Linked DNA regions of Coturnix japonica. The protein of the gene in region 2 interacts with the protein of the main gene of each other region in a pairwise test. Links are inferred from orthologs where the notes say so. Each region holds a gene or a part of one and is shown on either strand. Other genes may lie near its edges. The genes, in order: MLX, TLE family member 5, DDX6, CCNK, OSGIN1, SMARCB1 and FAM124B.

The links.
Region 1: the proteins of TLE family member 5 (region 2) and MLX interact in binary tests that used the Homo sapiens proteins (3 or more experiments, as listed by UniProt). The two-hybrid records come from large-scale screens. The link is inferred for Coturnix japonica from reciprocal best matches to the Homo sapiens genes TLE5 and MLX.
Region 3: the proteins of TLE family member 5 (region 2) and DDX6 interact in binary tests that used the Homo sapiens proteins (3 or more experiments, as listed by UniProt). The two-hybrid records come from large-scale screens. The link is inferred for Coturnix japonica from reciprocal best matches to the Homo sapiens genes TLE5 and DDX6.
Region 4: the proteins of TLE family member 5 (region 2) and CCNK interact in binary tests that used the Homo sapiens proteins (3 or more experiments, as listed by UniProt). The two-hybrid records come from large-scale screens. The link is inferred for Coturnix japonica from reciprocal best matches to the Homo sapiens genes TLE5 and CCNK.
Region 5: the proteins of TLE family member 5 (region 2) and OSGIN1 interact in binary tests that used the Homo sapiens proteins (3 or more experiments, as listed by UniProt). The two-hybrid records come from large-scale screens. The link is inferred for Coturnix japonica from reciprocal best matches to the Homo sapiens genes TLE5 and OSGIN1.
Region 6: the proteins of TLE family member 5 (region 2) and SMARCB1 interact in binary tests that used the Homo sapiens proteins (3 or more experiments, as listed by UniProt). The link is inferred for Coturnix japonica from reciprocal best matches to the Homo sapiens genes TLE5 and SMARCB1.
Region 7: the proteins of TLE family member 5 (region 2) and FAM124B interact in binary tests that used the Homo sapiens proteins (3 or more experiments, as listed by UniProt). The two-hybrid records come from large-scale screens. The link is inferred for Coturnix japonica from reciprocal best matches to the Homo sapiens genes TLE5 and FAM124B.

The regions. Positions count from the first base shown.
Region 1 is NC_029542.1:4,577,777-4,581,995, reverse strand, and holds the start of MLX (max-like protein X), read right to left. Parts: upstream 2,824-4,219; 5' UTR 2,708-2,823; coding exon 2,663-2,707; intron 2,582-2,662; coding exon 2,545-2,581; intron 2,468-2,544; coding exon 2,384-2,467; intron 2,276-2,383; coding exon 2,169-2,275; intron 2,008-2,168; coding exon 1,908-2,007; intron 1,764-1,907; coding exon 1,664-1,763; intron 1,417-1,663; coding exon 1,215-1,416; intron 740-1,214; coding exon 683-739; 3' UTR 1-682. Other genes in the region: bifunctional coenzyme A synthase-like, read right to left, coding at 2,865-3,137, 3,193-3,339, 3,486-3,583, 3,666-3,750, 3,985-4,049, 4,150-4,219. UniProt on the Homo sapiens protein: Transcription regulator. Forms a sequence-specific DNA-binding protein complex with MAD1, MAD4, MNT, WBSCR14 and MLXIP which recognizes the core sequence 5'-CACGTG-3'. The TCFL4-MAD1, TCFL4-MAD4, TCFL4-WBSCR14 complexes are transcriptional repressors.
Region 2 is NC_029543.1:645,086-649,589, forward strand, and holds the start of TLE family member 5, read right to left. Parts: upstream 3,013-4,504; 5' UTR 2,787-3,012; coding exon 2,760-2,786; intron 2,547-2,759; coding exon 2,449-2,546; intron 1,062-2,448; coding exon 998-1,061; intron 363-997; coding exon 318-362; intron 1-317. UniProt on the Homo sapiens protein: Transcriptional corepressor. Acts as a dominant repressor towards other family members. Inhibits NF-kappa-B-regulated gene expression. May be required for the initiation and maintenance of the differentiated state.
Region 3 is NC_029539.1:4,836,435-4,840,146, forward strand, and holds part of DDX6 (probable ATP-dependent RNA helicase DDX6), read right to left. Parts: intron 2,500-3,712; coding exon 2,436-2,499; intron 1,958-2,435; coding exon 1,853-1,957; intron 619-1,852; coding exon 489-618; intron 11-488; coding exon 1-10.
Region 4 is NC_029520.1:43,662,733-43,666,444, forward strand, and holds part of CCNK (cyclin-K), read left to right. Parts: intron 1-383; coding exon 384-515; intron 516-1,341; coding exon 1,342-1,447; intron 1,448-1,590; coding exon 1,591-1,648; intron 1,649-2,255; coding exon 2,256-2,425; intron 2,426-2,913; coding exon 2,914-3,197; intron 3,198-3,712. UniProt on the Homo sapiens protein: Regulatory subunit of cyclin-dependent kinases that mediates activation of target kinases.
Region 5 is NC_029526.1:103,701-107,412, forward strand, and holds part of OSGIN1 (oxidative stress-induced growth inhibitor 1), read left to right. Parts: intron 1-790; coding exon 791-927; intron 928-1,278; coding exon 1,279-1,470; intron 1,471-1,803; coding exon 1,804-1,895; intron 1,896-2,443; coding exon 2,444-3,434; 3' UTR 3,435-3,712. UniProt on the Homo sapiens protein: Monooxygenase catalytic activity. Involved in regulation of cytokinesis; promotes RHOA activity, probably acting locally at the midbody in late cytokinesis.
Region 6 is NC_029530.1:7,048,579-7,052,862, forward strand, and holds the start of SMARCB1 (SWI/SNF-related matrix-associated actin-dependent regulator of chromatin subfamily B member 1), read left to right. Parts: upstream 1-1,484; 5' UTR 1,485-1,591; coding exon 1,592-1,684; intron 1,685-2,890; coding exon 2,891-3,002; intron 3,003-3,499; coding exon 3,500-3,529; intron 3,530-4,139; coding exon 4,140-4,269; intron 4,270-4,284. Other genes in the region: MMP11 (stromelysin-3), read left to right, coding at 326-583, 799-932.
Region 7 is NC_029524.1:6,955,251-6,959,710, forward strand, and holds the start of FAM124B (protein FAM124B), read right to left. Parts: upstream 2,873-4,460; 5' UTR 2,180-2,872; coding exon 1,448-2,179; intron 711-1,447; coding exon 159-710; 3' UTR 1-158.

The DNA.
Region 1 (4,219 bases), on a different chromosome or scaffold from region 2:
AGGAAAAGGCTGCAATGAAAGTTCACTCCTTTCCCATTCAGGGGTGTTACTGAAGAGTCAGCACAGCGAGGCCCCAGGGCACTCCTTCAGCACAGAGCTCGCTTGCTGCTCCATGTAATGAGCATTGCCCTGGCAGTGACATGCTAATAAACCTGCCCTCAGTTCTCCCGGGCCTTCTCCAAAGCAGCTACAGAAATTAAAAGCAGACTCTTGCTTTTCTAAGAGCTGCTTCAGAGGGAGGTATTGAAAACCTGCAGCTGCAGAATAACCCTATTCCTGAGCTGCATTAGCACAGCAACAGCTTTTAGCACTCTCCTATTTCTCCCTGCTCCCAGGTTCAATAGGGTTTATATCAGGTGTGAGGTTACAGAGCAGATTCACCTGCTGAGCTGCAGCCCTGAAATCAGTGGCACAGATAAACCCAACTGCAACCACCTGCCTGAGCTAAAGACACTGGCAACTTAAAAGATCTATATTCAATACACACTTATTTCTTTCCCTTCACTAAGTCCTTAGCAGTATTTGGTAACGTTGACTGTGACAGTACCTGTTTGCACAGCTTTGGTTTGGTTTTGTAGTGACAATAAATAATCGAAGAAGCTTTAAGGACCAGCACAAGGGAGATGGTCCAGCCTCTCCTGGCAGCTGTCACCCGGTCGGGAGGTGCTCCAGCGAGGGATGCTCAGTACAGCTGACTCTTCACCTGGTGCAGGACCCCGATGACAATGTCCCGTAGGGTCTGGGGCAGAGAGGAGACACAGTCAGTTGTTCAGGGGAGGAAAAGCCTTTCCCATGCTCAATGCTACAGACAGCACCTGGTGCCACAGATCTCAGCACCTGTATGGGAAACGATCGCCTGTCTGTGTTCTCAGGCTGCAGGGCTCCAGGCAGCCACAGCACAACAAGGACCTGGCCCTGCCCATGCAGCTCATTCTCTTCCCTCCTAACTTCTAAGTGTCTTATGGAACAAAGTGCTGGGGAACAAGCACCCTCTTTGTAAGCTCTGTTTTTCAGTGTCTGAATTTCACTGCCAAGCAGCTGGGAAATGAGAGGAACCCAAGCTCCCATGCCCCAGGTCCAGTGTCAGCCACATTCTGCCTTTCTGAAGGCCCAGGCGAAAGAAAAGCTGCACACAGGCCTACACTCCAGACAGGTGCAGCCATACACAACAGCCTCTGCTCTTATATCAACCCCCCTGTGTCTGCTGTACTCACATGGGGCTTACAGTGCTCCTCAATCCAGCTGAAGACACATGCTGACAGCTCTTGAAAACTCGTGACTGAGATGGAGGCATTAAAGGACTCAAAGAGGGAATCCATAATGCCTTGGAAAACGTTGAATTTCACCTGGTCAGAGACCTGGTCCTTCCCCTCACTCGGGTTGTCCTGGTGAGCTTTTACGATCTGCTCATAGTTCCTGAAACACCAAGTTTGGGGCTCAGTGCTATCGAAGCCTCGTACTGCACAGCAGCTGGGCGACAGCGGGGGCAGAAGCTGCTGCCAGTAACTGGACACTGAAAACAGCTTCAGAACTGGAGGCAATTTGGTACGACCCCAGGTGCCAGACTGCACACAGAGCACTGAGCACATCGGGGGAGCTTTGCAGGGACATGGGGAAAAACAGCAGGAAGAAGGGGGCAGCAACCAAATAACTTCTTACTTACACTTTCATTATCTTCAAGGCCATCACGTCTTTCCTGAGAGTAGAAACTTCCTCTTCTTGCTTCTTCTTTTCCTTGTGCAGGAACTGAATGTAATCAATGGCTGAACACAAAAACACAGAGTAAGCAGCACATGGGGCCCCTCTGACCTCCCTGAGGTCGGTCCCCGAGGCACCATCACACACAATCACCACATTGAGGTGCCTGAGGGTCGGATCGTGCCCTGCTGCCTCCTGCACACACTCACTCTTCTGCAGGATGACGGCCTTGCTCAGCTTCTGGGAGCCGATGGCGAAGTCCTGCTGCTGGCAGGTGGGCACGATGGCCTGCAGGTCGTCGTAGCCTTTCTGCAGGGGCAGAGGGAGCAGAACAGGCACAAACGGCAGCGGTTACACGGACCCACAGCCCAGCTCCCACCACGCGGCCAAAGCGGCTCCAGCCACACGCGGCTCATGGAGCGGATCCAGCACGGGACGAGGGGCTGGAACGCGGCGCGGCGCCCACCGACCTTGATGGCATCGCGCCGCTTCTGCTCCGCCTGCGTGTGCGCCCGGCGCCGCTGGTCCTTGTAGGACTCCTTGTAAAACTCCTGCGGGTAATCGCTGTCCTCGTCGTCTGCGGACACAGCGGCGCTGAGCGCGGGTCGGGACGGGCCCCCCCGGACGCCGCCGTCCCCGGTTGCCCCGCGCCCGCCCCGCTCCAGCCCGGTGCCCCCGTTCGTACCGGTGTTGGGCACGGACGAGGCGCTGGTGGATCCGATGCTGTTGGCGCGGGACACGACGCTGCCCTTCCTGTCCGTACCGAGCGCTGCGGGACAGCGGGAGCCGCTCAGCGGAGCCGCCCCATCCGCCACCCGCCATCGAACCGCCCCCCCCGGCACCTACCGGGCTCCGGGACATTGTCCCCGTACGCGGCGTCCACCTGCGGGCGGAGGGCGGCGGTCACGGGGCGGATGGTGGCGCTCCGGGCCTCGGCCCCACGGTCCGACCGCCGCCCCGTTACCTTCCCCCACGCTTCCTCCGCCGCGGCACCGGGCGGCTCCGCCATCTTCCCCCGCCCCGGTCACGTGGGAGCCGCGGGGGACGCCGGGAAGCGCCGCCCTCCCGACCGCGAGGGGGCGCCACGTGGGGACAACGGGAACAACGGGAACAACGGGACCAACGGGACACAAACAGCACGGACACCGGGAAACTGCGACCGCCCTTTAACCGCCGCTCGGCTGCGGGATCACGGCGCGGAACCGGCAGCGCCCGCCGTGCCGAGCACGGGCCGTACCCGCCCGGTCGGGGCCGCGGCGCTTCCGGTCCGTCCCGGCGCGTTGTGCGGCTCCGTTCGCTCCGTTCGCTCCGTTCGCTCCCGGTCCCGGCTCCTCTCGGTCCCGTTGCGGTTCAGCTGCTCGTTGCGGTGGCCGCGCGGTGGATGCGGCGCTGCAGCAGCTCCCACGCCTTCTCCACCTGACAACGGGCACCGTCAGCAGCTTCGTGCGGGGCTCGGCGCCGTTACACCGGCCCGTTACAGCGGCCCGTTCTCACCTGTTTGTGGGTGACGTCGGGCTCCCACGCGGTGCTCAGCACAACATGCGCCTCCCGCACCCGCTGCCCGTCGCTCATCTGACTCCGCAGCCGGTCACGCGCCGCCTCCTCGCTCAGCCCGTCCCGGCTCACGATGCGTTTCAGCGCCTGCGGGACCAGCACGGGACGGGGGGTCACGGCGATCACGGGGGTCACGGCGATCACGGGGATCACGGCGATCACGGGGGTCACGGGGATCACGGGGGTCACGGGGGGTCACGGGGATCACGGGGCGGCCGAGGGGAGTCACCCACCTCGTCCTCGGGGATGATGGCCGCCCACACCTCGTGCACCATCTCCTGCCATCCGGCCTCCAGCAGCACGGCGGCATCCAGCACCATCACGGCTTTTCCTACGGAACGAGGCCGTTCCTGGTCACCGGGCGGACACAGGCAGCGCCGGCAGCGCCCACTACAATCAGAGCCACCCGGTACCTTGAGCTCCTGCCTCCCTGATCTGCTCCCTGACCATCCGCGCGATCTCCGGCCACACGATGTCTGTGAGGTTCTTCAGCCGCTCCTGGAAAGGAACCGCAGCGGAGTCAGGGTCCTCCCAGAGGTTGGTCCACGAGGGGGCCACAGCTGGAGGAGCAACAGCAGCTGCTGCCTGGATGTGGATCCTGCACAGCCGCTGATTTACTGTGTGCTACTGCACAGGGACGTGGCATCAGCTCAAAGGGCTGGAAATCAAAGCGCCAGCACAGAGTTCTCTGCTCATGAGGTTAAATATTGACATTCCCTGTGCTGCTCGTACCTGGTTTCCAAACACTTTTGCCCCGAGGATCTTCCTGTTGATCGTCCCGTCTTTGTTCAAGATTTCTGCAAGACAGAGGGAGGTGATTTGGGAGCAGAAAGAATCCAACTCACCTGCACAGCGTGTCCCGGCACAGCGCCGGTGCCGCAGCACACCCAGCCCCACCTGCCCCAAACGCAGCCACCACTTGCCCGTGGGCCGGGCTGCCGGGCAGGTACACAGCGTGGCCCAGTGC
Region 2 (4,504 bases):
CTCAGCCAGGCTACAGCAGAGCCTCCACCACGAGGTGCCCAGCACTGACTGCACCCAGCCCAGCTCAGAGCCAGAGCACCCCCAGCCGGGTCCCCCCTTCCAGAAGGGTTTGGAAAAGCAGCTCATGGCCACAATGATTATTTTTTTTTCCCCTCCCTGCATGAAAAGACGTTTTTATAAGGTCATGGGGTGGAAAAAATGTGAAGGTGCTCCCCAATGCCAGAGCTGGAGATCCCAAAATCAGTGCTGACGTTTGACATCCTGAAATGCCACTGAAGGGACAGAAGGCACAGCAGGCAGCCCACCCCCCCCAATACCTGTTTGTGCATCTCAATATTCAGCCCGTAGGACATCTCGTAGTACTGCGGAGTGGGGAAGAAGAGAACAAACAGACACGATGAGGACTCCAGCATGCAAAGAGACCCCCACATCTGTACCTTCCTGCTGCCCCCAGCCCAGGTGGGACCTCAACTAACCCAGAGCCCACTCAGCACCTTCACAGAGCCCTGGCATCACAGGGAGAGCTCAGTGCTCTGCTGGGAACAGGCACAGCCCGGCTCTGTTTGCTGTGCCTGGCCCATCTCCTAACGCCCACGTGGCTGCTCCGGCAGCAAATGGAAGGGCTCAGCCCTGTGCTCCAGCTGCACACAGCTCCAGCTGCTTGGGAAGGAGCTGCAGGAAACACACACGCAAAATAACCCACCCCCCTCACACAACAGGCAGCTCCAGTGCAAGCTATTGGCACGGGAAGTCAATTCCTGAGCACTCCAAGTTTGCTCAAGCAGCAGAGCAGCTCTGCACACAGACAGCAGCTCCCTGCTCACACCCTGCATGTCCATCCTGCACCCACCGACCCAGCACACACACAGGGTGCAGAGCACGAGGAGCTCTGTTTGTTTGCACGAGGAGCCCTGTGTGCACGAGGAGCCCCGTTTGCACGAGCCCAGCAGCAGCAGCACCTGCTCCCCACCCACGCGCTGCCCCGGCAGCTCCTCACCATGACGTAGTGACGCTGCATCTCCGATTTCTCGCTGGCGAGTTTGTCGCATTCCAACTTCAAGCTGCAAAGGCAGAAAGCAGTGAGAGAAGCAGCAGGGCAGCGGGTTGCATCCTGGGTTGCATCCTGCAGGGTCCATCCCAGCCTGTTGTGTGCCCAGTGCAGCTCAGCAAAGCAACCAGATCCTCCTATACTGGGGAAGCCCAGGTGCAGTGCAGGCCTCTGGAATGATGCCTTTTCCCCCTTTCCTTTGGGTTCTTTGCACCCTTAAGAGCAGACGTGCTGCTCGCTGTGCTCTGTGCAGCTCCCCAGCCCGGCAGCTGCAAGCAGCATGTGCTGGTTTTATGTTTCAAACAAGAAACAGCTTCACCTCCACCAAACCTGCTGCTCTGTGAGCAGATCGGGTCCTGCAAGGGGGGGCCACAATGCTGCACGATGCAGAGCTCGGGGAGGTGGGAGCAATAGGGAAAGGGCAACACACGGAGCAATGGTTTGGTGCATGCGTGCAGCTAGGAAGCAAACAGCAAGAGAGCCCATCGGCAGCCAGCTTTTGGGTCAGCAGAAGCCATTCCGCAGGCGGAAAAGCGGAAGCATTTGGCTTTAAGTGCTCCCTGCAGCATTTGTGAGCCAAGAATGGCAGCCAGCAGGGAGAGGGGAGGAAAACTCCCAGCGAGAGGAGGGAGGGCTGGAAGAGCTGCACATGGATGGAGGGATGGAAGAGCTGCACATGGATGGAGGGATGAAAGAGCAGCACATGGATGGAGGGATGGAAGAGCTGCACAGGGATGGAGGGATGGAAGAGCTGCACAGGGATGGAGGGATGGAAGAGCAGCACATGGATGGAGGGATGGAAGAGCTGCACAGGGATGGAGGGATGGAAGAGCTGTGCATGGATGGAGGGATGGAAGAGCTGCACAGGGATGGAGGGATGGAAGAGCTGTGCATGGATGGAGGGATGGAAGAGCTGTGCATGGATGGAGGGATGGAAGAGCTGTGCATGGAGTCCTGCATTGGGGTAAGACCTGGCTGTGGGGGAGGCAGAGCGTTCTCCTTCCTTCTCCTTCCAGAATCCCACCTTTTGGGCAGTGAGCAGAGCGTTCCCTGCCTGGATTGCAGCTTTTGGCCAACTCTGGGCCGAACTGCGTGGCCAAAGGAAAGGAAGGCAGCAATGGGTGCACACCGGGCGTCCCCCCCCCCTCCTTGGGATGCTCACATCGGTCCTCCAGGTGGGACCTGGAGGTGATACCGGCCTGGGGAGGCTGAGCCTGGGGGTAAACCTGTGCTGGGCTGGGAGGGCAGCGCGTCGTGCCGCACGGAGCCCATCTCTTGGCCACGCTGCGTCCCGGTCCGTGCAGGGCAGCGATGCCAAAGCGGAGGATCCCAGCTCCGGGCGCACTGCGGACCCCCCCGGGATGCTCGGGGCGGTCGGTGGGGGCGGTACCGGCACGTACCTGTGATACTGGGCCTGCAGGAGCTGGAACTCGTCCTTGATGCGGTCGCACGAGTCGGAGGTGGTGAACTTGAGCTGCTGCGGCAGGTGAGAGGAGCCCTTGAACAACACACACAGCGCTGCACACCCAATGGGGGGCCCGCAGCCCTGCCCGCCCCCCCACCGCAGCCCGCCGCCGCCCAAGGTCACCCGCACCCCCCGCTCCGGTTCCCGGTGGCTGCGGGCGGGCAGGGGGCGGCTCTCGGTGCTCCCCCCCGTCCTTCCCTCCTTCCTTCCTTCCTTCCTTCCTCGCTCCTCCCGGTGCCGCCGTACCGAGTGTCGGCTTTGTGGAAACATCATGTCAGGCTGCAGCCCGTTCCACCGCCCGCAGCGGTCCCCTCGCCCCGCTCCGCTCCGCTCCGCTCCGCTCCGCTCCGTTCCGTTCTTTCCCCGTCCGCCTTTGTCCGCGCCGGGCCCGGCCCCGCGGCCGCCCCGCGCCGCTGTGCCCCGAGCCGCCGCCTATTGTCTAATGGCGGCTGCGATCCGCTCCGTCCTGCGGCTGCTCGGCACCACCTGCCGCCCCGCCGCCGCCTCCCCGGGCCGGGCGGGCCCACGGCCGTCTCCGCCCCCGCCGCGATCCGGGCGGTGCGGGGCGCTCAGCTGCTCCCCCCCCCCCCAATTCCCCCCCCCCCCCCCCCCTCGCCCCCCCCCCCCCCCCCCGGGATCGGGGGGGGGGGGGGCGCCCAGCTGCCCCCCCCCCCCCAATTCCTTCCTACCCCCCCCAGCCGTGATGCTCTGCCCCCCCCACGCCCACCCATCCCGACCCGGTGCCGCTCAGACCCCGCTCCGTGGGACCCTCCGTGGGTCTGGGGTCTGCGCTGTGTCCCAGAGCCCCGCACCTGCTGCGGGCATCGTGGGTGCGAGAAGGGCTTAGAGTGGGGTCGGCCTTAAAGGGCATCCAGTTCTCCCCATCACCATATTGCTATCAGGCAGGTAAAAGTCACTCCCCCTCCTCCCTGTAAGCCCCCTCCCCAAGTACTGGAGGGCTGCAGTGAGGTCTCCCCGGAGCCTCCATGGCTGCTCCATCAGCACGTTTCCATAGCAGAGGATCTTTGGTGCTCAGAGCTCAGAGCATCCCACAGCCTGATCCCAGACCTGGATGCATCACTGCAGGTGGGTCCCCACAAGGGCTGAGCAGACGGGACAGTCCCCTCCCTGCCCTCTGCCCCCCCATAGTTGCAGCGCAGGGGGGTCTGTAGGACCACCACGACCACAGATCCCAAGCTATGACCATCCAACCACTTCCTTACCCACCAAACAGCCCACCCTTCAAACCCACCTCTCTCCTATTGAGAGAAATGGGCACAGTGTGGGGCCGTGCAAAGGCCCTGCACAACTGCAGCCTGTGCCCTTCCTTTGTCCACCAATGCCATCAATGGAGGCCACCAGATGGGCCAGACACGTCTGCCCTTGGCGTTCCTTGTTCACCTATTGCTTATGGTTCTTGATGTGATGCTGCAGGAGCTGAGCACCCCAGCAGTGTGGAGCTCACCATCACAATTTGGGGCTCACTATCACAGTACAGGACTCACCATTGCAATATGGGGCTCACCATTGCATTATGGGGCTCACCATCACATTGCATGCCCCAGTATCACAGTGCAAGGCTCACCATCACAGTGCAGACCCCACCATTGCAATGCAGGGCTCAGTTTTTGACTTGCAATGCCCACAGCAAAGCATTGCTTCTTCTCTTCTCTCCTTTGCTGGAAGAAACCATGCCCAGAGCAGCACCTCAGCAGAGCCCCATCCATGGGCAGAGGCTGCAGTGCTCCAGTGAGCAGAGAAAGGCTGCTGGATCCCTGCATGGCACAAACAAGGAGTGCTGGGCAGGGCTGCTGCGTGCACAGGGATCCTGCCTTGATTTGGCTGCTGTTCTCCTCCTGCCTTTCAAACTGGGTGCATTTTCTGCTTCAAAATAAAGCCCCACACGTCACGGCTGCAGCGAGGCAGGCCGGGCTGTTGTGCTATTTATTTTTAAAGGGAACAATATAGCAGCTGAGTTATTGTGACAGCTC
Region 3 (3,712 bases), on a different chromosome or scaffold from region 2:
ATCACCATTGCTGAAAGTTAAAAGTATCAGCATGAATTACTATTAACACACAGTCTTAAATACTTCCCTGTAGAACATAGAAGCTTCACAAAGCCATATTTCAAAGTTTTGCAGTTCCACTATAAATATCCTGATAGGTATCTATAGAAGTCCTAGAAGCTGCTCAAAACAAGATAAATTCCACATGTGCTCCCTCACACTCGCTCCACACAGCTCTCCCAGCCACCACATGTTTATTACTCCTAATCTGCTTTCTGAGGCAAGAAAGTAAAGTCTGGAAGATACCTTCCAATTCAAGTTCCTGAAGGGAAACTTGCAACTTATAAAATTCCACCTTCCCTCTACCATTCCCCATGTACTTGCTTTACAAGTGTGAGCAGACAACCTACATCACTGCATTTCATCAAACAGCTTTTAGATTCAAGTCTAGACAGTGAGCAATAATACCACCACCTGGATGCAGCTAAGGCAGACCCATCCCAACTGACCTTGTATGTTGTCCTTCTTTAAGTCTAGCCGTTCAAGTAAGGGAATGAGGTAGGCTCCACTCTTGCCTGTTCCATTTTTCGCTCTAGCCAAGATATCCCTACCAGACAAAGCAATGGGGATGCTCTCCTCCTGAAATGACAGTCAATTCATGAACAATCACCAGCTAGGCTCACTAAAGAGATTAACAAAATATAATTCTCCTCACTAACAATACAACATTACATGTTTATTCTGTGAACAGAATATCCTGCGTGTATTGTGCTCTCACAGATGGAAGGAGTTAAATCTATCAGCAAAGAGTTCTTCAACACAATACAACACTTCTGCTCCCAATATCCCAAATAAAGTTCTTAATGTGCTCTGTACTGGGTACTGCAGGCATGGTAAACCCACACTGATACATCAGCAAAAAGTAATTTACAAAAAAAATTTAAAAAAAAAAATTGAGGAGACAGTGACAGACAGAAACTCCTCCAACAGAAACAGACATGCATCTCTTAATGCTGGAAACGCATCAGCCCATGTAATCTCAAACCTGCATGCTTCTGTGATTAGACTTTACAAAAGGGAAGCCTGCTAGTTTTGAGACTTCAGCCATTCAGAGAGAGGGCACATGTACTCTTCAGTTTGCTCTCCTTCGCAGCAACAACTAAACAACCCAAATACCTACAATCTTTTCATTTAGAAAAGGTGATGTGTTAGAATCTACTTGAAAGAAATAAGCCGTAGCTTCCTTCATTCCTTACAGAGATAAAGTGGCCCAGTTGTCAATGATAACTCTCTAAGCAACAATTGAAAATAAACCTTGTCTCCCCAGCAATTTCACACACGTCAATTGTTACTCGTAAAACAACTCTTAAAGAGGAAGGGACAGAAAAGTAAACTTACTAACACATTAATCTCTCTCCTATAACCTCTGTTATGACTCCTTCCAGATGTGTATGATAAAAAAAGCCAAGAATGGGTGGTAATGCCACACAGATACCTCTATAACTACAGATATGCAACCTACAGCAAATCAAAGTTTTCCAGGAATGTATAAGAACAGCCCTGTCCCCACTGTGACTGCTATGGCTACTGATGCTTCTGAATGAGAGGAACACATTGATGTCTCCACAGCGAAAAGGAAAATCAAAGTTAGTTTCTCTAAAATCTCAGTCAATCCCAATCTCTTCATCAGCCAACAGCTATGATTTACTTGGAAATCAGTGTTTCTTCCTTCCTACAGTCACAAAATCCTGCTGTTCAAATCCCCAGTTTCCCCGAGCCATGACACAAGCATTCACCATTTAAGCACATGTAATATCAGTGAGTTTATAATAATTAAGTTGCTGCTTATAACTAGTCTGTTTATTATAACAACCTGAATAGGAGATGGCTTTTCCCAGCCCATTTCAAAAATTCCCATCAGCAACTCCCGTTTCAAACAGTAATCTTCAAACTCATTTCCTTTTGTGGAGGTCACGTCCTGGATAATCAGAAAAAGCACATCCATAAGATTAGGTCACACAACCCACAGCCAAGCATCAGTCAGACCCGAGGAGAGGCTGCTTATGCAGGAAGATCAGAAAGCATGTTCCATTACTAGACAGGAGTTCTCACTTATCAGTACAATATCATAAAGTAGAGAAGTAAACATTAACTTTCCAAAAACCAAATACAATCCTGTGAATATACACAGACATCTTTTGATTTCTGCCTTGCAGAAGACACTGGACCCAAGCTGCAACAGCAATAAAAAGCAAGAAACACATTAAACAGTGTTATTGAGCTTCACGAGAGAAGCATCTCTCCCAAGTAATTTTAAGAGAACAGATTAATTTTACAAAGCAATCCCTCATTTAAAACAGCTGAGCAAAAGCTTAAATGCTTTTGAATCTTGTATGACTTTTTTTTCACTGCAGCTTCTCCCACAATTTCCATTCCTACAATTCAGGAATCCTTACAGAAGTTTTGATTCTCAAATCCTTTGGAGGGAGTTTTAAAGTCTTCTTCCAGTCATCGCCAGGTCTACAGCAAAACAAACAAAGACAAAGACTGGTTTAATCATTTGATTTTGCATTCTGATTTTCTTGGCAAGTGATTGACATGTGATATTTTCAGCTATAAGCACCTACAGGTACAAGCTCAAATCTTTTCTGAGCAAAGTGGGATGCAACAGGCAGGAAATGGGAAACAAAGGCACTGAGCAGCCTGCCAAGTGCAAAGCAAACTTGGGAGATCTTTATCCTGTCATGATTCAGGTCCCCCTGTTGGGTCACCAAATCAGTCCACTGGAACACAGATTTCAAACTGAGCACTGACATACTGACATAGTGATGTTAAAGTAATAAGTAATAAATCCACACATGTATATTTCAATACTGGTGCTAAAAATAATAATAATAAAAAAGAGAGACCCACATTTCTGTGTTCAGGAACTGTCTATTTGATATCCGTGAGTAATATAAGATGAAATTATTTCTGGGGAGAAAACTAAGTAAACACACACTCCATTTGACTCTCAGTGAGATTCAGACACTCTTCCTCTCTGAAAAGCCCCCATACAGAAGAAAACAAGTTCTCCTCCTCCCCAGTCCCATTTAGGAGTAAGTTCTGATGAGTTCTATTGGTAGTAACCCAGTTTAAAAACACCACAGCTGAAAATGTGTTAAGCAAACAGTAAGAGCTCGGGCATTCCATTAGGCACTCTCTCAGGCAGGGAAACAAATTCATGTTGCTTGGGTGCAGTGGCAACTATGGGAGGAAAAAAGTGAGCTGCTATCGTAACATTCAAGTCTCACAGGTCTGAGATAATTTCCAACCAGTATGTATTATTAGCACACTTCCAAAAGCAGTTTGATGGGACAAAAGAGACAGACAAGTGTCATAAAGGTACCACCATGTCCTGGCTTAGGCTCTGACTAATTGAAACTGGAGTGTTGCACCAGGGAGTGCACTCACCACCATTTAAGTTCAATGACAAAAGAGAACTGACTGGAAGGTTTCTCACCACAAAAGAGATCTGCAACAACTAACCCCAAAGCAAGCAAAACTGGACTAAGATTAGGCCGTGTTTCCTCCTTTGTCTTACATTTCTGTTCCTTCCCACACCACTTAAAATGAGCAAAGAAAACAGGATGCTGCTGCTCAGTGGGCTACTGCTGACAAGCAGCTACATGTACTGAAAAAGCAAAGCATCAAGCTCAATTTTCACAACAAATAAACTGCAAAGGTAAATGTC
Region 4 (3,712 bases), on a different chromosome or scaffold from region 2:
CTCTTGCTGAATAAAATGATTAAATATTAACTTTTTATCTCTTATCAACACAGCTCCTGTTTATTCACACATTTTTTTATGGTTGGAAATGTGTTTGTGTTGGTAACATCTTGCTGATGCTTTTCTGAAAGAAGGCAAGTTCTACTTAGGGTCTCTAACCAAGAAATAATGTTCTATCAAATGGTCAGTCCTCCAAATTCTGTGTTTTTCTTTAAGAATGAAAAGCTTGAATTAGCAGCACAGTAATATTAAAAGTTAATGTGCTTATTAAATCTTTTCTGGGAAAATTCCACAGATCTGTTAATGGAAACTGACCGTGCTTTAATAATGTTGTACTGTGTTGGATATGCAGACAACTCTTTGAAAGCACTTTTGTTTTTTAGGTGACAGGAGCCTGCTGTCTCTTCCTGGCAGGGAAAGTAGAAGAAACACCTAAGAAATGTAAAGATATAATTAAAACAGCCCGTAGCTTGCTAAATGATGTACAGTTTGGACAATTTGGAGATGATCCAAAGGTAAAAAATACTCACATTGAACTCATTTTCATCCTATTGTACCCAGCAACACAACAAGCCTTAAAACACTGGTTGGTTTCAGTTGTTGCAAATTTCACATTCAATGTGCATTTATGGCTCTTTTGGGTAACGTAGTAGGTAATTATGAAAATAATTCTTGCTAATAGAGTTTTTGCGAATACAAGTAAAGGCTACTCCAGTAACTGTTTATATTAAAAGCTTAGATTTGATTTCATGTGAGCTCTGGTATTATTTTGCAATTTAAAATCAATCTGGAGTCAGTTTGTGGTCACAGCTATAAATGCCATCAGGACATAAATCACGCTGGGCAGACTTAAGAGTGCCATTAGAAAAGAAGCAGTTGAAAGTCTCAGGTCAAATCAGAGCATTATCTCAAATGTTTTAAGGTTCCTGTTTATAATACTTAGCTTAGCAAAACTAAGCGTTTCTCAGAATTATTGCAAATGGTTTACTGTATATGCAAGAAAGATGTAAAACTAGAGAGAGATGGTGAAAACTTACCTTTTCTTTTGTATACTGAACAGTTTTATGCCATATCTACTTCAGTTTTTTATTGTATGTAGGAAAAGGAATTTAAAGCACAACTTCTGCCCTTCTGCCCCAAATAACTATGAAGAAAAAGTATCCGGGTTTAAAACAGCGCTTAAGTTGGAAAGGTTTCTATTCTCCTAATCAAACCCTAAACAAGGAAAAGCGGACAAACATGTTTGCATGGAGATGCTCTGTAGTTATACTTTATACCAGCATAAAACATCTGTGAGTAAAAAAAGGAATAATATTATGGTTGCCTTATTGTGTGTTGTAGGAAGAAGTGATGGTCCTTGAAAGAATCTTACTACAAACAATAAAGTTTGATCTGCAAGTGGAACATCCATACCAGTTCCTTCTCAAATATGCTAAACAACTCAAAGGTAAAATGCTGCAGGATGAGAGAGTGCTGCCCGTTCTTAATTTTTGACGTTTTATTTACATTAATAGTGCAGGTGTGTTCTTCTCCAGTTTGTTTGCATTTCTGATAACTTAGTTTCTTTTACCTCTTCTGATTGCTTTTCAGGAGACAAGAATAAGATTCAGAAGCTGGTTCAAATGGCATGGACGTTTGTCAATGACAGGTGAGATGGTACCAGGAGACACGTTGGAAATTAAATGGTTGCTGTTGCTTACTCTATTCTGTGTTGAGGTATTTCTCTGACATTTCTTTGCTTATTGTGTGCTTTCTGTTCATAATGAGGGCAGCTGAATTATTTTTTGATCTAGATATTTTTTTACTTTTTATCTTTACCATGTTATTTCCACTGAGTGGAGCATCTGGGATGACTGCAGAAGTAGTCCATTAAAACCTTGATATTTTATGGGAATGACTTAATATTGCTGTCAGAAATGAACAAACAAAACAAGGTGTTTATTGAAAAGACCAACACAAATTATAGATGTCAAGACAGAGTCTGGCTTCTTGCCCACCTGAGACATGTAGCTTATTCTGTTCGTTGCAGGGGAGTTGGACTAGATGGCGTTTAAGGGTATTATGTATGTCTGAAATTGCTGTGATAAAAAAGCATAGTGAAGGAACAGCTTAGTTTTGTAAACTCATTTCACTTAAGTGGCTGTTTGTAGGTTTCTCCATTCAATTTGTCTGAGATGTTTAAGTGCAGTGAAGAGTCAATGCTGTTAGTAATAGCTGTTGTAAATTAAATTTCTGTTTGCTTTTTTGTATCCCAGCCTCTGTACTACTCTGTCACTGCAGTGGGAGCCTGAGATCATTGCTGTTGCAGTTATGTACTTAGCAGGCCGTCTGTGTAAGTTTGAAATACAGGAGTGGACTTCAAAACCAATGTACAGACGATGGTGGGAGCAGTTTGTCCAAGATGTTCCTGTTGATGTTCTGGAAGGTATGAGAAAAATTTGCCAGAAAGAGACAAGTGTTTTTTTCAACTATATGATCTAAATCATAAGGAAATGCAGATTGCTTTCTTTATGGGCCTTCAGTGCTATGTCCTAAGCAGATTTGTAATTGAACTTTTTAAATGACCATTTTAGACTGGTTATCACGGTTAGTCTTCTGATCAGTGTTTGCTTTACTAATTATTTAAATTGTTTAGTTTATAACACAGCTAATTAGCTGCTCATCTATGATGTGTTGTTTTGCTGGGAGTGTTTGTTTGTTTGCTTTTAGTTATTATTCCTTTTCTCCCCATTTTTAGATACACAGTTCTGTGAGCACTGGAACTAATGCAGCCTGCTTTCTAGCAAATTACACTAGCTTTGCAGTCACTGAAGTTTATTTTCAGTAAAAAGCTTAGTTAATTATGGTGAGTTAAGTGTACATTTGTACATTATGAGTTGATCGTAATTGAGTCCTATCTCTTCCTTTTTAAAGACATCTGTCACCAGATACTGGATCTGTACTCACAGGGAAAACAGCAAATGCCTCATCATACTCCTCATCAGCTGCAGCAGCCACCATCTCTTCAATCTACACCTCAGACACCTACAGTACAACAATCACAGCAGTCCCAGGGTTCAGAGCAATCGCAGACTCAGCAGCAAAAAGAGTCACAGCAGTCATCACAACAGCAGCAGCAGCAGCAGCAAACACAAGCACCGCAACCTAAAAAGCCTTCGCCTCAGCCAAGTCCTCCCAGACAGATTAAAAGACCAGCAGTAAGTTTAACTTTGATCTTCAAATTGCATTTTATTTTTAAGCTCATCTGATGACACTTTTACTTAAAGGCTGTGTTGTGCAGCAGATTTGTTTGCTTTAAGACTCATCCTGGTAATTAATTTTTTATGGTAGACTTCTGTTAGTTGTATGGTAAGTATGTTAGTGTAGAACAGCCTTGACAGTTTTGCCATATCGATATTCTCATTTCACTTGAGGCAAAACCAAGTGGACAGACATTTAAGTCAGCATCAGCTACTGAGGTTCATGGTTCTGCGCCATCTAAATTTGTCGTGTTGCTGTTGAAGAAGCTTAGTTAAGGAAAGGTCTCTGTTTTCTATTACTATCTCGTTGAAAATAAGAAACTTCATGAGTAATAGAATAATACTGTAATTATTCCGCATGCTTTTACAAGGTCTTTAACAAGTTATAGCTTACAAGGTATAGCCTGCTACTAGAGGACGAAAAGCTGTGCTGTGCATTGTGTAGTTCTTGCACTGAGTACTAACTTTAGAGT
Region 5 (3,712 bases), on a different chromosome or scaffold from region 2:
CAGACACTGACCCGCAGCAGACTTTGGCCCCAGCTGTGGCAGGCTCTGCCCTTTTGCATAGCTCAGCTCGCTGTTAGCCCAAGCCTCCCCATCTCTGCTGCCTGGAGAAGTGGCCTTTGCTCAAGTGGTTCACACACACAGCATGGGCACTGTGTCAACATGACCCACTGCAGGCTGCTGTGTCACTTCAGCTCCCCTCCCCTCCATCATTACTGCATTATGTAATGCTTGTTAGTCACTCCGTTGTGAGCAGCTGTGAGCCAGAGGCTGACGGCTTGTCATCCAGGCACTGTGAAATATTAAACGTGCTGGAGGACGGCCATGTGAAAAGTTTCCATAGGCTGCTCTTGCTGGGCTCTGCAGTTGCAGTCTTTCCACTGTCTGCAGGAGGAGGTCAGATATCCTGCAGCCAGTCAGAAGTACTATATTCTGAGGCACTCTTGGCACAGCAGGCTTTTTTCCTTAACGCACTGCCTGCAGTACAGACTGGGGCTGATTCCAGTAAGCGACCAGCTTCCAGATCTTTAAAGCTGATGAGCAGTGACTGAGTTTGTCAGCAGGCCAGAGACTTTAAGCTTCAGGTGAGGCTGGGGAGCAGAAGGGGATATGTGAGGGCAGAAAGACTTCCCCAGCTGTGTCTGATGGGTTATCTGTAGCTTGAAAATACAAAGGATTGTGTCTGAAGTGTGCATCTTAACCTTTGGTTTGGTCAAGATGCTTAAAACACTTCTTAAAGGGCTGTACTGTCTGCAGGAGTAAAAAAAAAAACATCTCCATTGTGTCTCTTCAGGGAATGGACCTTCTGGAATCTGCCTCTCATATTTGCTGACAGGCTACACACCTTACTTCAAAAGACACTCTCTTCATCCTCATCCCATTCTTCAAAGTAAACTAGAAGAGGCAGCAGATGTGTCCATTTTGGACCAGGTTTGTATAAAGAAAAATGACTTTGTTAGCAGAAGATGTTAGTTTATCAACATAGTGAGGCGCTCGGGGGGTTTATTATAAGTGATGTATTCATCTGAATTTTCAGAGTGTGTAGAACACACTCAGACAGAATGAGTCTTAAGCAAAGCATTCTAGTTGTCCAAATTTCCCTTGTGTGAAGTGCCAGCACTGCTAAGATCCTCAAGAAAGTTCTCAAACAGTAACAGGGGCTGTATGCAATTAAATGAACTTCACAAAACTCCAAAAACAGTGTCTGGAAGTATAGCAGTTATAAACAGTCTGCAGCCTGACAGGACACGCATTCACAGCATCTGATCTATCTCTCTTTAGGATCTGGAGTATCTGTCTGAAGGTTTAGAGGGAAGATCCAACAGCCCTGTGGCTCTTCTGCTTGATACCCTTCTGCGACCTGATACAGACTTTGGTGTGAGTGCAGAATCTGTGCTCACTTGGAGGCACGAGACTGAAAGAGCCATCTCCCACCTGGTCCTTGGCAAGAACCCTCCAGGAGGTGCCTGGCATGTATGTGAACCAAAACCTAACTAACTGCTTACAACTGTATTTTATAAAATAGCCAAATGCATTGACTGGAGAGTTGAAGGTACTCCAGTGTGCTACTCACACATGCTTGATTTTGCATGTACAAAGAGGTGTAAGAGCTTTAAAAGGGTGAACAGGACTGGCATTTATATTTCCAGTTAATTGTTCTTTTTGGAGAAAATGGGGGGTTTCATCCATGCCAATGCATCTAATGAAATCATTGGCTTCTTCTGTTGTGAGATATACTGAAACTTGAGTTACACTTAGCTTCTTACATTAAATAACTGAATGCCCTTTAACTGTTTCTTGCTCCAGTCTATTGAGGGCTCCATGATTACCCTGAGCAGAGGGGAATGGATGGGACTCCCAGATCTCCAGTTCAAGGACTGGCTAAAGCAAAAGAAAAGGTGAGATACTCATGGTCTGATTTCTTGCAAGCATCCATATGTTATTTGGGAACTTGGAGTGGGCTGGACTTCTTGAATGCAGCTGCCTATCTTTAGTGGGTGATTCTTCTGAAAGGTCACTCAGAGTATTCAGACTATGAGTTCTTCTGAACTGTCTGACTTCTACAGCTACTGCTACTGACCCTAATGATAAATACAATAATCTGAGATACTCCACAGCTTCTCAGATGCTTCTACTCTGTAACTGTTGAAGCCTTAGAGTCTAGTAATTGAAAGTGGAATAGCAGTGAGATACATGTGAGAAAAGAGTGAATGAGTGACCATGTTCTTAGGGATGGAATTTGTATTAAAAATTTTCCTCTGTCCAGCAGCTTCCAAATCTGATTACCAGCTCTGTATACTGGGAATAACTTAGCTAAAGTCAGGGAAAATAGATAAGCCTCCTGTAGTAGTGACGGATTAGATAGCTCTAGGATACATTCAGTGGAAGAAGTAAGAAATTCCAGGCTCTTACTTAACTGCTGCTTGACCTTTGTAATATATTGCAGGGGCCTCAGAAACCATAGAGCCACAGCAGAAGACATTGCTCAATACTACCAGCATTATGTAGTGAAGAAAGGGCTGCAGAAGAACTTTAGATGTGGGACTGTTGTAACCTCTGTGAGGAAAGTAAGTGCAAAGAGCATCTCCAACCACGCACAGAAAGATCTACAGAAGAGTGACTTGCTCTGGAACTTCAGTGAGGAGAATATGGAGGTCTTTCAGGTGGATGGATTTGTCAAAACTGTCAAAGGTGACAAGGAGCCCTTCACTGTCTATGCAGAGAATGTGGTCTTAGCTACAGGAACGTATGATAGTCCCACTTGGCTCAGGGTCAAGGGAGAGAACCTTTCCTATGTCCATCACCAGCTCTCTGCCCTAGAGGAAGCAGTGAAAAACAACAGTATTGGTATCACATCAGATCCAGTTTTGATTGTAGGTGCTGGTTTGACAGCTGCTGATGCGATTCTCTTTGCTCACCACTGCAGTATTCCAGTAATTCATGTTTTTCGGAGACGAGTCAGCGATCCAGGTCTTATTTTTAACCAGCTACCCAAAATGATGTACCCTGAATACCACAAAGTCCATCAGATGATGAAGGAACAGTCAGCTGCTTGTGCTGGGCCCTATGAGTGCTACGTTAGCCTGCCTGAGCACCATGTTCTATCTTTTGGCAAGGACAAGAAATGTATCCTTCAAGACAAAAACGGCTGCCAGAAAGCTTTTAAAATTTCCATGGCTCTTGTTCTAACTGGTTCAAATCCCAACCTCTCCTTTCTGCTGAATAATGGCATTGACTTGGCGATGGACAGTGACCAACCAGTCAATCCCAAGAGGAATCCCATAGATGTTGACCCATTCACTTATGAATGTACTCAGGAGAAAGGGCTTTATGCTCTAGGGCCTCTAGCTGGAGATAACTTTGTACGCTTTGTACAGGGAGGGGCTCTGGCTGCTGCCAGCTCTCTCTTAAGGAAAGCAAACAAAAATCCTCCATAACAACAAAAGCCACCTATGCTAACAATGTCTGAATGGGTTACTGCTGATGTCAGAGAATTTGATATGCACGTATTTAAATGAGAAGGCTACTCTTGCCATTCTTCAGGATTATGCAGTTACTAAGTTCTTGCTGAGTTATTTGGAAAGGTTACATCACCAGAGTTTCATTCATGGCAGTAACTTCATTCCCAGGGTATTCTGCTCCTTTTCTACATGGCTGTGTATGCAGGCAGCAGGGGCACTGAACCTTCCTCCTGGAGAAGTGGAGGGTAAGGTAG
Region 6 (4,284 bases), on a different chromosome or scaffold from region 2:
CAAATGCACACAGGCCTCTCTAACACCACAACCGTGAGCCTGTGAGAGGCCAGGAAAGGTAGCCTGGTACATAGTATGTAAAGCTAAATCTTGTATTATAACTTCCACAGATACAGAAGAGACAGCTGCCAAGAATCCTCCCAGTCCCACCACTGGGTTGTACTGAGGGGAGAACTGAATTCCTTACTCCCTTGGTGGGCATTCATGAACAGCTTTCCCTGGGAGCTCTGCCCAGGCACCAGCTCCAGTCTGCAATTCCATGCCAAGTTATCTGACATCTAAGAACTTCTGAACATGTGTTTCCCCTTTTCCATCTCCTTACCAGATTCTCAGTACTGGATTTATGACGGCGAGAGACGAGTCTCTGGTCCCACACCAACTGTAGAGCTGGGCCTCCCTGCTTCTCCCGTGCAGGCAGCTCTGGTATGGGGGACAGAGAAGAACAAGATTTACATCTTCAGTGGAGGCAACTACTGGCGCTTCAACCCTCGCACACGCCAGGTGGACAACATCTACCCCCGGACCATGGCTGACTGGCGAGGCGTCCCACAGGAGATTGATGCTGCTTTTCAGGATGAGCTGGGTCAGTGCAGCAGGGACAGGCCCTGCTCTGGGGCACGTGCTCAGGGTGATGCTACTTCCCACCAGACCCAGCTGTTACCACTCCCAATAGTGACAAGCCCAGCAGCTCTGCCTGCAGTTCAGCCCAGGCAGCAGTGCTGAACTGCTTTCAGTAGTACCTAGTGCAGACAGCTGAGTGAAGGCTGGCTCACTTACTCCTCCCTCTCTCCTCCACAGGTTTTGCCTATTTCCTGAGAGGCCGAGACTACTGGAAGTTTGACCCGGTGCAGGTGAAGGTTCTGGAAGGTTACCCCCGTCAGATCAGCCAGGACTTCTTCAGCTGCACACCGTCCTCCAACTCCTTCCGATGAAGGAGCATCCCCTACTTTTCCCTTCCAGCCCTGACCTCCAGCAGACACTGAGGGCTCTGCTGCCATCCCTGGCTCCTTCCAGGCGCAGACTGACACAACAGACGTGTCACAACAAGTGACAAAGTTTGCTCCTCTCCCGTTCCAGCAGCAGCCCCAGCTTTGGTCCCTGTACAGAAGCATCTGCCACATTCCTTACAGACACGAGCAGCCTTAATGTGGCCGGGCTGTTGTAGCTCTATCATCCCAAAGCCATCAGGCCTTGGAACGGGACCCCCCCCATAACACCGACCCGCCGCCATCACCCCCCGCGCTGTGAGGCCGCAGCCCCTCAGCCTGCCCCATCCCAGTGCTGGACACTGCCCATCCGCACGGTGCTCCCGGGTACAGAACCAAACCCGTGGGCGTCAACTTTTGTACGACGCGTATCAACTCTTTTTATATCTATATCTATATATACTGTGTATATACGTATCGATGTACCAATAAAGCGCCTCTTTTCTACCCGCCGCCCGACTCACTTCAGCGCCGGGTGGGCGGGAACGAGCGGGCGGGGCGGTGCCCTGCGCATGCGCAGAGCAGCAGCGGAGTAGGCCGAGGCGCTGCCGTTGTCGCTGCGCCCCGGTTCCCTCAGCGCCGCCGGATCCCGCCGGGCCGCAGCGATGATGATGATGGCGCTGAGCAAAACCTTCGGGCAGAAGCCCGTTAAGTTCCAGCTGGAGGAGGACGGAGAATTCTATATGATCGGCTCCGAGGTACGGACAATGGCGGCGGCCCGGGGAGGGGGGGAGGCGGCGAGGCGAGGCTGTGGGGTGGGCAGCGCTGTGTGGGAGCAGAAGGGCTTTGGTGCTGTGATACTGTGGGGATTGTGCTGTTAAAAGGAGCCATAACTGCAGGTTATCTGGCTATATGTGCCACACAGGGTACGTGGAGGAGGAGGGATCGCCTTCCAGCCCCCCGCTATAAAGTTACAATTAAAAATGGTCTGAAAGATGTTAAGGTCAAAATAAGGCCTGTGTGACAGGGAATGTGAGCCCCTTTGTGAACTATACACACTCTACAAGTACAGCAGCAGTTAAAAAACCTGGTCGCAGAGCCTAGAATTCATTGTGTTGTCCAGCGAACCCTGCTGGAGCCTGCACTGCTGTGTTGCATTGTGCTGAGAAGAGCAGAGCTGCTGTGCTGCTGGTCAGCGGGTTTGGAGAGGCACAGATCGCATCCTGCGTGTTCCAAGGGCTTAAAGTAGAGCACAAGGCAGCGCTGTGTGTGTCTGAGCCATCCACTCTTGGAAAGCAGTCCTGACAATAGCAGGACATGGGGAAATGGTTTTAAGTTGAAAGAGGGAAGATTTAGGTTGGATGTTAGGGGGAAGTTCTTCACTAGGAGAGTGGTTAGGCCCTGGAACAGGCTGCCCAGGGAGGTTGTGGATGCCCCGTCCTTGGAGGTGTTCAAGGCCAGGCTGGACGGGGCCCTGGGCAACCTGATCTAGTAAAGGTGTATGTTTGGTGGCCCTGCCAGGCAGGGGGTTGGAACTACATGATCCTTGAGGTCCCTTCCAACCCCGGGTCATTCTGTGATTCTGTGATCCCAGCGGTGTCTGGTGAAAGGGATGCTGCTGGAGAGCTGGGTGTGCAGCTCCATTAAATCCTTCCTGGACACTGTGCTGATGTAGCAAAGTCCCAAAAATAAACAAAAACTGATTTCTGTCAATGAGCTGGAGTTTCTTAGCAAACTAGTGAAATAAGTGCTGATAAGAGCTATGTATTGTGCCAAAAATTGTGCTTTATGATGCCAAACCTGATACAGTGAATTGTGAAAAGCAACAAAAAAAATCCTCTTAGGAGGTTATTTATGAGGTCACTGTTATTGTTTCATTATTGAAAATTTGTTTCAGTTTTTGATAATTCGTTTCTTTAAATGGAATACGTTTCCAGGTCACATCTTTGCTTTTCTTCTTATAGGTGGGGAATTACCTGCGTATGTTCCGGGGCTCTCTGTACAAGAGGTATCCCTCGCTCTGGAGACGATTAGCCACAGTAGAAGAAAGGAAGAAGATAGTGGCATCTTCACATGGTAAGAAGATGAGGAAATGCTCCCAGTCTAAATGTCTGCCTTGAAGAACTGTCTCTGTAGGCTCAGAAGCTTGTGTACCTTTAGGGCTTTGTGACAGCGTTCTGCAAAATGTGGCTGTCCTGGAGTTGGCTGCATTTATCACAATGCAAAAGACACACCTCAAGTTAAATACCATATTCCAGAAGAGATTTCTAGTAGCAAAGAGGGGTGGTTCTGTCCCTTAACACATTGAAAGGATGCTCATGTTCTTTATATGTTTATGACTCCCAGAATTTGCAGTGTGTTTCTACTGATGTTACCACCACAGTGAGAATGCAGCCACCTTGGTATTATTTTTGATGGGAGACTAATATTAAGAACTTATATTCATTAGCAGTGCAACTTGTCATGTGTTCCTCAGGCTAAGGCATAATAAAGATACGTGGTTCATTCTATACTTAAGCCTCCTTCCTCTAATATCCTGCTGACCTGTTGCTGATTTCTTTCTTTCCCAACAGAAAATCAGCGGTCTCACAGTCCAAGAAGATGTAAGTCTGATTTGTGTGTTATGCTTAGCTGTGCTACAGGAATAATCTCTGCCATGACCTTTGGCGTTATTACAGCATATAATAACATCTCATCCTCTGATCTCTCCCTGTGGTCATCCCATTGTGCATCCTCATCACATGCTGAACTTTTCTTTCTCAGAACATTAATGGTCTGTGCAATTCAGTAAGATCTGTCCAGTGGTTCTTCCCTTTTTCCAGGTCTTAAGAGTTTGTACTCCCTGGCTTAGCTTTCATTAGTATCTGATGTGTCTGCTCAGCCACTCGCTTTTCCATTGAGTGTTATATCTCCATTTCCACTATTAAGTCCACTGAGGATTTATAGTTTTCTGGACTGTGGAAAAGATTTTACATCATTGTGGCAGACTGTAGTTGTGCAGAGCAAAATGATGTGATAGTGTGGGGCTATTTAATGTAGGATTTTTTTTTTCCCCCTTATTACTTATAAGCTTATCTACTATTTACTATTTTAATGATGTGTTTTTTGCTAGTCCCACCTGCACTGACTCCACTTTTCACTGTTCAGCTTGTTTATGCCATATGCTATGTAATGCTTTTTCATGTTAACTATTAGCATCTTTCCTGGTAACAGATCATGGATATACAACATTAGCCACCAGTGTGACACTGTTAAAGGCCTCTGAAGTGGAAGAGATCTTGGATGGAAATGATGAGAAATACAAGGCAGTGTCTATCAGCACAGAACCTCCCACCTACCTCAGGTAACCTCAGTGTTG
Region 7 (4,460 bases), on a different chromosome or scaffold from region 2:
TCTTCAGCAGGTCCTTTGATCCCACAGCCTCACATCTTCTGTTGTTTCAGACCCACTCAAGGTTTCCATCGCCCCACACACAGCCCAGCTGCTGTGCTTGCAGACAAAATCACGTTGATAGCACTCAAATGAGGAGCCTGCCATGTGCTTGTTTCCAGTCATATGAAGAACTCCTCTTCCTCCTCAGGCCTGGTCCCAGGGCTGTCTCTCCGTGTTTGCACACGGGAGCCTGGAGCCCCGTGTCCCGCTGCTTTCCTCCTGTTGGCCACAGCAGATGGTGGCTGTGCACAGTGCGAGGCGGTGCAGGCCGTACTCAGCACCCATGGCTGCACAAGGTTGTGCTGCAGTGAGCAGTGACAGCCCACAGTTCTGCCCACAGCCAGCCCCGTGTCCACGTTGGTTTCTGCTGCTGGCCGGCATGGCCAGCCCTTCTGCTGCCTGCTGCTCATGGGCACATGGCGGGAGAGCATCGTGGTGCCCCGAGAAGAGCCAGAGAGGCTCCCATTGGGCTGCTGCATGGGGAGGGCATGGCCTGGCACGGGTGTCACCCTGCCCCTCAGGGCCCAGCCCTGCTGGCCTCCCTGCTCAGCGCTGCACAGAGTGGGGAGAGGGGCTGCAATAGGGCTGTGCAGCAGTCCATCCACAGCAACAGCACTGCGCCGGTTGGGAAGCACAGAGCTTGTTTCCCTCTGCTTGGAGCTGTCCTGCACCTGTTGAGAAAAGGTGGAGAGAACTTCCTTAAAGAAGAACTTCCTCACCAAGAAAGGAAAATAAAGAAAATCGAACATACATTGAAATGATTTAAATATCCAAATAATAATAAAAATATCCAAATAGCAACCAAGGAAGCCAGAGGTGTGAGGAGCTGTTACAAAGCAAAGAGCACACAGATGAACTTCCCTCCTGCTCCCACGTACAATCACAGTGAGCACCACCTCCTCAGCACCATCTTAGCCTGGTTTGATTTGTGCTCGCATGCTCTCAGGGCTGCATAGCACAACAGAAAGGGGGCGGCTTTCCCATGGCATTTATTTAGCCCTTTTGCCCAACTGCAATTACAAAACTACCATGGGTGATGTTGCATCAGCGCTGTACTTGCAAAACACCTGGTTTGGGATGGTACGGGGCTAAAACTCTGCTTTCTGGAGCATTTATAAGGTTGCATCAGAAAGAGAACAGGCTGGAAAGGGAAAAAGGTGAATTCAGTGGCTCGAAAAAGAACTAATACCTTCTACTTCGGGTGCTAACAATATGGAAGCATTCTAAGGATCCGTGCTCACATTTATCAATGACATCGTAGCACTGGAAGTTGGTTGCTGAGTTCATGAATTAAAAACGAAATACGGACAAGCAAAACCTTCATTTCCATTTTGAATCAGTCCTGCTCTTTGTTGGAATAGAAAAACCCAAAAGGCATCTGGTCTGCAAGCACCGTGCACACACATACCTGAAGCAGAATTTTATTTCCTTCGTAGTCCTGTGTTTGCCACCTGGTGCTGCTGATAGGAACGCATGGATTGGGCAGGAGAGGCACCAGCTGCCCCATTTCTTGCACCTTGAACTGCAAAAGCGACGACTCCTTGGGCTCAGCAGCCATCCCAATGGGCAGCTGCTTCAGGCAGAGCTGGACCGCAATAGCTTTAGTGGCATAGAGCATGAAGACACAGAAATTGCTTTTCCGTGTGGTTGCTTCTTTCCGTAGGATCATCTCGTACAGCCCCACTGCATCGTCGTAGTTATCAAAGCTGAAGTAGAGGGTCACACGCAGGATTTCGGGGCTGCAGCCCACCCGCCGGATGCCCCACACCGGCATCTGGTCATCCAAGCCATAAAAGTCCTGCAGAGCTGGTGTGTGGGGAGGGCTTCGTGCCCAGGTGGTAGGGACACACTGGTGGTGCCAGGGTGGGCGCTGGAGGAGATCCTGGATCTGGAGGATCCGCTCTTCTCCCAGGTCCTCATGCAGAAAAAGGAGGACAGATATCCCAGGAAAGCCGCAGTTCCTCCTGCGATACCTCTCGTAGTATTTCAGTGGAGCAGCTCGCTCGGACACAAAGAAAAGTGGAACATCTGGGCAGATCCAATCCATGAGACGATCCAGAGCTTGCTGCAGGAACGCCGAGTATCCTGAGTTGGCCAGAAGATGCACAGTCATCAGAGGCTCTGCTCTGTCACCCATCATAAAGCTCCTCTTCAACAAACAAAACCAAACCGAAAACCAGTTTCCTCCTGCAGTGTTCGGAGTGGCAGCAGCACAGGCACTGCACTCTGAGGTAGAAAAAGAACTTGATCACTCAGAAGCTTTGCAACAACCCAATGAGGTGACAGGGTTGCACACACGCACACGAGGCAGGAAAGCGTGCCACGGTGTGATGGGACCAGCTCTGGTTTGCTCACGTCATATCAGAGCTCAGATGCACGTTCTGGCCCAGCAATGTGACCCAGAGCTGGTCACCAGGTGCACACAGCACATGCGCTGAGGCGCTGTTGTGGTGCAGTGACTGTCCTTGAGCAGGGTGCTGGGGGGCTGAAGCAGGAGTGCAGTCGCTCTCCCAATTGCACACATCTCATATATCTCCGGGTGCTCGCCGTGTGTGAAAACCTCAGCGTGTGTTCCTGCAGTCAGCTGCTGAACTTCAGCTTGCTGTGATCTCCCCAAGTCACACCCTTCTGGGGCACACAGATAAGCTATTCTTTAAAAACAAGGAAGGAAAGCAGGCTAACAAAGAGGAAAAAAAAAAAACATGTGAACAGGAGAGATAACAATGAGGGCCAATATGAATCAGGCCCAGGCACTGCAGGAGGAGCCTGGGCTCGGGGCTGTGCACCTCATGGGGCAGCAGTTTGCTGCTCAGCCCACCCCAAGTTGCTGTGCAAGGGTCAGGGGTCTGCTATCCAGAACACTGGACTTGAACTATTCCTCCCCCCCCCCAACTCCTTTAATTAAATACAGCCCTAGCTTTATATGCACCTGAAGAAAATCTCCAGGGTTTAACGGTACAGGGACCTGAGCTTCACGTTTCTTTTATTTAAAGATCACACTCAGTAATAGAAATACAGTCATGAGACCAAAGTAATGTAAGGTCTTAAGAAAGATAGCTGCAGCACTTCCAACAAGTAGTAACTGTTGGGACAGAGACAAAAACATCCAACCCTTGGACAATCACAGGAAGAGCGAAGGCTGCGAGTGTTCAAAACATTACAGCGCTGTAAATGAGCTCTGAACAACACAGAGTATTACTGAAACACCGAAAAAGGAAGCGATTCATCAACTCTTTGCTACAGGGAAGGGTACAAAGAGGCAGGCTGCCCTAAATGTGAGCAGCTCCTGACTTTCCCTCTGCTTCCCCTTCCCCCAGCTTTCCAGTCTGGCTGCCAAGCGGAAAAGCACATTATTCACTGTGACCTACCCAGCATGCCAAGAAAGATTGCTGTAAGAGATTAGGAGAACAGCAGCTCAGCCCTATGTGAAAAATCAGCCTGCGCTCCCACAATGCCCCGGAACACCATCCACACACAGCAGCAACATGCAGCACAGCACAGGGTACGGCATGCTGTGCATTGCTGACCTGAGTAAGAGCACGTGAGGGACGTACTGACCACCAATATAGAACATCAGTAAGCCCAGCATAAATAAATGCCCAGTGCAAACAGCCAACAAGTACTGTATTGTGTGAGGCTCAGAATATGGTCTGTGATGTGTTTCAAGGCTTGTAGTGCAAGGGCACAGCAGAATTATAACTCCTTTCCATAATGAGCTCTTTGATTGCTCCCAGCCCTGAGGTGCTGAGCCCTTCACTCCAGCTGACACCCAAGGACTGATGACGCACCGCAGGATTTAATAAATTCATTGTAACTTCTGTAATGAAGCAACACGGCAAAGGTTCAGGCATTGCAGACCATCGGTAATTAACTTCCAGGAGGGTGCCTGAATTACCTCAGCATCACAGAAGCAGCCCTCATTAAATCCCGGCACTGTCTTGGGCTCGTTAGCCTTCAAGACATTTTTTTTTCCTGCCGATTTCAATTTCTTCCTGCACCAAGGCCAATGACAGCCATCGACAGCAGCACTCAGACAAAAAGCAGAAGTAGGGCCCTACTTGAGCACAATAAGCTTTGCAGCCTGCCTCCTGCCCCAAGCACCGTGCCTCCAAATTCATCAGTTCTGAGGAAAGTAAAACCCCAGCAGTCTGACCTACTGCACTTACGACAGGGGACTTCTCTCCCAAGTAGTCCCTTAGTTCTCCTTTTTAACCAGCTAGTAAAAAGGATCTGGCAGGGATCTATCAGCAACTGGACACAGAAAACAGAGCTCATCACACATGGTAAATCAGGATCCAAGCAGAAAACAAGACAAAAATGGAGCCACAATCAGAGCAGGTTAGCTCAGTCCCGCTGTCAGCAGGACACAGCAACTCAAGGCTCAGCCCTAGGAAACACACACAGCAGACAGGCTTTCAAGG